Linked DNA regions of Rattus norvegicus. The protein of the gene in region 1 purifies or fractionates together with the protein of each later gene. This does not show direct contact. Links are inferred from orthologs where the notes say so. Each region holds a gene or a part of one and is shown in the gene's direction. Other genes may lie near its edges. The genes, in order: Map3k1 and Axin1.

The links.
Region 2: the proteins of Map3k1 (region 1) and Axin1 purify together in Homo sapiens (affinity purification with western blotting; 5 studies listed by BioGRID and IntAct, with this or other methods). This does not show direct contact. The link is inferred for Rattus norvegicus from reciprocal best matches to the Homo sapiens genes MAP3K1 and AXIN1.

Annotation. Positions count from the first base shown.
Region 1 is NC_086020.1:45,088,941-45,092,755, reverse strand, and holds part of Map3k1 (mitogen-activated protein kinase kinase kinase 1), read left to right. Parts: intron 1-69; coding exon 70-1,336; intron 1,337-1,619; coding exon 1,620-1,772; intron 1,773-2,684; coding exon 2,685-2,847; intron 2,848-3,815. UniProt on the Homo sapiens protein: Component of a protein kinase signal transduction cascade. Activates the ERK and JNK kinase pathways by phosphorylation of MAP2K1 and MAP2K4. May phosphorylate the MAPK8/JNK1 kinase.
Region 2 is NC_086028.1:15,716,312-15,720,126, forward strand, and holds the end of Axin1 (axin-1), read left to right. Parts: intron 1-877; coding exon of another isoform or gene 878-985; intron 986-2,142; coding exon 2,143-2,310; intron 2,311-2,919; coding exon 2,920-3,046; 3' UTR 3,047-3,781; downstream 3,782-3,815. UniProt on the Homo sapiens protein: Component of the beta-catenin destruction complex required for regulating CTNNB1 levels through phosphorylation and ubiquitination, and modulating Wnt-signaling.

The DNA of each region.
Region 1 (3,815 bases):
TTTTAAAACCGTGCATTTATTTCTGGTACTTTGAGCTCTTGTAGTAACTGAAGGTGTTTCTCCTTTCAGGTATAAGAAGCTGCTGTCCCTCTTAGCCTTTGCCTTGCAATCCATTGACAATTCCCACTCTATGGTCGGCAAACTCTCGCGGAGGATTTATCTGAGCTCAGCACGAATGGTGACCACAGTGCCCGCCCTGTTTTCCAAGCTGGTAACCATGCTAAGTGCTTCTGGATCCTCCCACTTCGCCAGGATGCGCCGGCGTCTGATGGCCATTGCAGACGAGGTAGAAATTGCCGAGGTCATCCAGCTGGGTTCGGAAGACACTTTGGATGGCCAGCAGGACAGCTCGCAGGCATTGGCCCCTCCCCGCTATCCAGAGAGCAGCTCCCTTGAGCACACAGCCCATGTAGAGAAAACTGGAAAAGGATTAAAAGCTACGAGACTGAGTGCCAGCTCAGAGGACATTTCTGACAGACTGGCTGGCGTTTCTGTAGGACTTCCTAGTTCAGCAACAACAGAACAACCAAAGCCAACAGTTCAAACAAAAGGCAGACCCCACAGTCAGTGTTTGAACTCCTCTCCTTTGTCTCCTCCTCAGTTAATGTTTCCAGCAATATCAGCCCCATGTTCATCTGCCCCGTCTGTCCCAGCTGGCTCTGTAACAGATGCTTCTAAGCATAGACCTCAGGCGTTTGTTCCCTGTAAAATACCCTCTGCGTCTCCCCAAACACAGCGCAAGTTTTCCCTACAGTTCCAGAGGACCTGCTCTGAGAACCGAGACTCAGAAAAACTCTCCCCAGTCTTTACTCAGTCGAGACCCCCACCCTCCAGTAACATACACAGGCCAAAGCCATCCCGACCCGTTCCGGGTAGCACAAGCAAACTAGGGGATGCCTCAAAGAACAGCATGACACTCGACCTGAACAGTGCTTCCCAGTGTGATGACAGCTTTGGCAGTGGCAGCAACAGTGGCGGCGCCGTCATACCCAGTGAGGAGACGGCATTCACCCCAGCAGAGGACAAGTGCAGGTTAGATGTCAACCCCGAGCTCAACTCCAGTATCGAGGACCTTCTTGAAGCATCTATGCCTTCAAGTGACACAACAGTCACTTTCAAGTCCGAAGTCGCCGTCCTCTCTCCTGAGAAGGCCGAAAGTGATGACACCTACAAAGATGACGTCAATCACAATCAAAAGTGCAAAGAGAAGATGGAGGCTGAGGAAGAGGAGGCGCTCGCGATTGCCATGGCAATGTCGGCTTCTCAGGACGCCCTCCCCATAGTCCCTCAGCTGCAGGTGGAAAATGGAGAGGATATCATCATCATCCAGCAGGATGTGAGTAGTCTTCACGGTCCTGGGAGCCCGTGCTGAAGTCTGCCGGGGACGGTGCTTCCGAGGGGGGGCGGATGTGAGCGTCCTTCTGCGCAATCACGTGACAACAACTCTGAGTCGTTGCAGTAGCGGTACTTAGCCGCTTCGAGACTTCTGGCCGGTTCTGAAATGATTGTCACTTACACAGTGTCCATTCATGGGTGGAGTGGGAACTAGAATAGTATTTCTCGGTCTAATTATATAGCATCTTGCTCTTCTAACAGCAAAACGATTCTTCAATTCACAGACACCAGAAACCCTACCAGGGCATACCAAAGCGAAGCAGCCCTACAGAGAAGACACCGAGTGGCTGAAAGGGCAGCAGATAGGCCTCGGAGCATTTTCTTCTTGTTACCAAGCACAGGATGTGGGCACTGGAACTTTAATGGCTGTGAAACAGGTCAGTATTGGGAGCACAGGGTGAGAGTGTTCACATTATGAAATGACATATATGCAGCTGTGAACTCAAAGGACGAAATGCCGGCATCTTAGAGCTTTGGTGGTAGAGGTGTTTGGTTTGGTTTTGGAAGCATCGTGTAGCCCAGCTGGCCTCGAACTTGGGACCTTCTTGCCTCTGCTTTCCTAGTGGTAGGATTACAAGATTTTGCCGCCACACTTGATAGTTTGGAAAAGCTTCAGAAGCAGCACAAACATGAACTCTTTTTAAGAGTTGAAGCTGGGGGCTGGAGAGATGGCTCAGTGGTTAGAGCACTGACTGCTCTTCCAGAGGACCTGAGTTCAATTCCCAACAACTGCATGGTGGCTCACAACCATCTGTAATGAAATCTGATGCCCTCTTCTGGTATCTGAAGACAGCCACAGTGTACCTCTATGTAACAAATAAATAAATGTTTAAGAGTTGAAGCTGGTCACTGTAAGGTCCTGAATGAAAATGGTCAGAGAGCTGGTAGGTCATTCCTGCCCTTCTCGCGTGCCGCCTAAAGACCCCCACTCTCTATAATGAGTTCACGCACTCGCTAGGATGCAGAAATGATGACTTCCCTCTTTAAAGTCATTGTTAGCCTGTCATTGGCTTTTCCCGTATTTACTGTTCTGTACAGTAAGAGTCTTGGCCGCAGCACCCTTACGCCATTTTCTGATCTGCTCACTGAGCTGTATTCTTCTTGTGTAGAGGGGTCTGGCTTGTGCTTCCCTGTTGAGTTGCTGCTTTTATAAAGCATGCTGCATCCCTGGAGTAAGTGCCATTTGCTGCAGTGTGTGAGGTAGTTTGGATTTGCCATTTTACGTCAGATTGGTTTGAAAACTTAGAACAGTAAAACCCAAGATCCTGTTAATGTGCTTATTAAAACAGGTGACCTACGTCAGAAACACATCTTCTGAGCAGGAGGAAGTGGTGGAAGCCTTGAGGGAAGAGATCAGGATGATGAGCCACCTCAACCATCCGAACATCATCAGGATGCTGGGGGCCACGTGCGAGAAGAGCAACTACAACCTCTTCATCGAGTGGATGGCGGGTACGTTCTGCTGGCACACAGCGTGCTGAGTGCCCCATTATAAATACCCTTGGGTATCTAAAAACAAACCACTCCTAATATACAGGCATACACAAAAAGTATTGTCTATATTTTAAATCTAGTAAATATTAAAATTTTTCCGCCTTGCTGTTTTGTTTTGCTGTGCCTGGAATCGAGCCCAGACCTTGTACATGCTAGGCAAGCCCCCTGCCACTGACCTTGTACATGCTAGGCAAGCCCCCTGCCACTGACCTTGTACATGCTAGGCAAGCCCCCTGCCACTGACCTTGTACATGCTAGGCAAGCCCCCTGCCACTGACCTTGTATATGCTAGGCAAGCCCCCTGCCAACTGACCTTGTATATGCTAGGCAAGCCCCCTGCCACCGAGCTGCATTCCCCAGCTCAGCAACTTTTCTTAGGAGTGGTTTTATGGCTTGGTGTATAAGAATCTTTTTTTCTTGGTCCGTTTAAATTCCATATTTCTCTTGATGGTCATCACTAATTGTATAGATTATGGTTTTGTAAGAAATGCTTCCAAAAGTGTGAAATAAAGTTACTAAGCAGGGCATGTGCCTTTGGGTAGTGCAGTGCACTCAAAGGCTGAGGCAGAAGGGTGCTTGGTCCAAGCCCAGCCTGAGCCGTAGGTGAGGATCTGTCTCAAACAGATCTAAATCAATTAAGGTATAGTTTGAAAACTTAACTTCAGAGGAAACAGCACTGAGACACAGAGTTAAACCTCATTCTCTTGAACATAGACTGGCTCACTTCTATATACTATGTAACAATGGCTCCAGATATGCCAGTCCTTGTGTGGTTTAAGAGTGCGTCTCTAGTTCATGCTTGTGTGTGCTCAGTGGTGTGACTGTGTGCGTGCAGATGTCTGGGACGGCGAGCGCCTCGGTCACTCTCCACCCTTTCTGAGACAGGATCTCTCTCTGACCCTAGAGCTCAGAAGCTGGGCTGAGAT
Region 2 (3,815 bases), on another chromosome or scaffold:
GTACACACACACACACACACACACACACACACACACACACAGCACAACTATCACCATTACTCATGTGTGCACATGTACGCGCACACACGTGTACACACACACACACACACACACCAGCACAACTATCACCATTACTCATGTGTGCACATGTACGCGCACACACGTGTACACACACACACACACACACCAGCACAACTATCACCATTACTCATGTGTGCACATGTACGCGCACACACGTGTACACACACACACACACACACACACCCCAGATCTTAGCTGGTGCCTCCAAAATCTTCATTTGTGATAAAACTGATCATGTTAAATCTGTCGGTCTGGAACTGTGTAAGCAAGTGTAGACTTATGAAGTGAAAGTCCTAGGCGTTGGCAGGCCCTATTAAGATAGATCAAAGTAAAGTCACTATTAGGAACCCATAGTGGCATCACTCCAAGGTAGAGGGTTCACTTAGAAAGGCTCTGCTCAGACTCTGGGACATGCCTTAGTCACAGCAATAAGAATTCCCCAAGATATTGTACAGCAGAACCACTGCTACCGACCATATCAGATATCCACATCATCTTCAGGAAGCTTGTGCTAGAAACTGTAAGAAAGAGCCACATTTCTGTCCTGGCAGATCCTCTTTAAGACATCTGAACAAGGGGTGAAGTAACAGCTTATAGCATCTAGATCAGCAGTTCTCCAGAGTGTATTCCAAAGAACAGACTGACATTGACCCTGTGTCTAGATACCTATGGCAGGGCATCTGATAATATGTGAGTAGGAGTTTTTGACGGCGAGGTCCTGCTTCTCACCCTTTCTATGCCCATTGTCCACAACACTGGCTGAACCCCATCCTCTTTGATGCGGGTTGTTCCCTAGGTATGTGCAGGCAGTCATGCAGCGGGGACGCACCTGTGTCAGGCCAGCATGTGCACCGGTGCTGAGTGTGGTACCAGCCGTGTCGGACTTGGAACTCTCCGAGACAGAGTATGTGCGCCCTGTGGGTCCTCCTGGTTTTGCCCAGCCCAGCCCAGGCCAGACCAAATTCCAAAGTGGACCACCTATTTTGATAGGTTTTGTCACTGAGCCAGAAAACAGCAGGGCTGGAGAAAGACGTGCTGGGGCTTCTCCCTCTTGTCTCCCAATAAAGGAGATCATGCCTCTTCGTGGTGGTAACATGATCACTAGGTCCTACAGGTACCACAGCCTGCCTTTCATTTTGTCTTTGCTCTCCTGAGCTTCTCAGCGAGGTTCAGGGATTGGCAGGTCTACTATCTGGATCCTGGGACTTTGAGCCAGCTTTAAAGTAGGATCTGGACAGTGTGACTGCAGCCAGGACTTAGGCTGTGTGCCTCCTCTCCCATGGTCACATGTAGGTTAGGGACATGCCTGACTTCCTTCCTGTACTTTCATTCAATTAGGAGGATGAGCCCTGCTGCTGACCCAGTACACGTTCCATCCCAGTCATTGCATAAGAGAGGGTGTCATCAGAGCCTGTACTGGGGCCTCTGCAGGTGGCCCTCCTGAAGCCCATTGCAGGAAAAGTCCAAGAACCCAGACAGTCTCACAGCCTAAATGGCCCACTTGTGGCCATGGGTGAAGCCAGCTGTGGAAGCTTCTGGGTGATTGAAAGATACAGGAGCACAGGAGCATTGCCTGTCATCCAGACTTGGAACAGCCTCACAGCACTTTGAGGACCTGAGCAGGAAATAGCTCAGGTCTCTAGTCTACTTTGGAGATCCTGGCCATCCTGGGAACACTTCCCTTCCAGATCTGTACAGCACTGATTGGTCTATGGTCTATCCTTGAGACTTAGGGAAGTTTGGAGAGGTTGGAACTTGACAGGGCCTAGGAACCAACTCCCTTTATATCCTTGGAGATGGGACTTTGTGTGCCTGGCCTGGTCATGATCTGGTGGGGCGTGTGTTCTTAAAGCTAGACCTGTACTTCATTTCCCAGTGAGTGGTTCACACAGGACTGGCACCCAGATTTGGGTAGGTGGGTGGCAGGGCCTGTGAATACCACATTGGTGAATGAGGTGCTAACCCTGGGATATCTTGTCTTCTGCTGATAGATGGTACCTTTGAGGTACTCTCTGTGATATCACCCTGAGCCCACTACTTACCACTTTATTTCTGCCCCAGGACAAAATCACAAAGAAAGGCAGGTGGCGGGAGTGCACCACCATGTGACAGTATCGTTGTGGCCTACTATTTCTGTGGTGAACCAATACCCTACCGGACCCTGGTGAGGGGCCGTGCTGTCACCCTGGGCCAGTTCAAGGAGCTGCTAACCAAGAAGGGGAGCTACAGGTGAGAGAAGCTGAAGCCATTGAGCATATTTGCCCGCTATGCTATTGGTTTAGTGTCTAAAGGAAAAGCTTTCTGTTCCATTGGTCTTATCTTCCCCTTCACCCTACTCCTCTCAGCCATGGATGCTGCACACTGTTGTGTGGTGGCATCAGGCCCTGCCTCAGAGCCTGACTGGCCCTTTGTTCTAGCCTTAGACCTGTCTGTCCCTCCACGTCAGCCAACTTGGAAACTCCAACAGACAGACAGATTACTGCTCCCTGAGTGACATGAGAACCTGTCAAGCCTGCTGGAGTCAGCCCATGTAGATGGCAAAGCGGGGCCCGAGACCTCTGCTCTCTTTGCATAAGAAGCATGTCAAGACTGGGGCTCCCAGATTTTTCGTTTTGTTTTGTTTTTGCCAATTCCCAACATGCTGTAACTCAGCCCATCCGTGGTCCCAGCTCTACCCCAAGTGTTGCCACCGCCCAGCAGGCACCAACCAGGAGCCCCGCTTGATGTCTGGGGGAAGCCTGTACTCTAGGGTGGCTAGACTTCTAGGGGGTCAAGGACAAGCAGGCATCCCTCTCTTGGAGCAGGTTTCTCACTGTCTGCACACTTTTCTGTCCCTAGATACTACTTTAAGAAAGTGAGTGACGAGTTTGACTGTGGTGTGGTATTTGAGGAAGTACGGGAAGATGAGGCCATCCTGCCTGTCTTTGAAGAAAAGATCATCGGCAAGGTGGAAAAGGTGGACTGAGCCCTGGGCAGCACACCCAGAGCTACCATCACTACTGTGCAGTGGCATCCGCCAGGTGGGCAGCCTTGTCCTCAGGAGCTTGGTGTAGGGAACAACACAAGATTGTCACGAGCTCTTCCAGGGGATGAGGCTGGGGGCCTCAGATGTCTGCTAATTTCTATCCCTCTGGCTCTGGGAAAGTGGGGGTGGGAGGGTCATCCTACTGAGTGGTTCCATGGGTTTCTCTGTTTTGCTGTTCAAAGGGAAAGCCGCACCTACCCCCACACTACCCCTGAAGCAATACCAGGAGCCATCTCATGACCCTCAGCAGCTCTTGCTTCTAAATACAGTCTGACCTAGGGATACTTTGCCCTGGGCTTGTATCCTAGTGTCCTCTTCTCTCTCTGGGACCTATCCACTGCACCTCATTGGGCTCAGGTCCAGGAGCAGGGGATCCTGTGGGGGCCTCTGTATATTGTACATGTCACTGAGTGCCTTCAACATAGCTGTCTCTTGCCTGCCACTGTGTGAATCTGGCGGCTGAATATCTCAGGCCTCTTTGCCTGTCTCCAGCCACCAGCTTGGTTCAGCAGAGGGGGGGGGTCTGGTCCCTTCCAAGTGTCCATGTAAATATGTACATTTCTCAGGCCAGGGCCAGCAGGGGATACCCTGAGCCCGTTTTTCATGCGATGACTTGTACAATTATCTTTTCAAAGGTACTTGGATAATAATGAAATAAAATGTTTTTGAACCTCCCTTGGATATGTGATATACTATCTGCTGCCAGTGG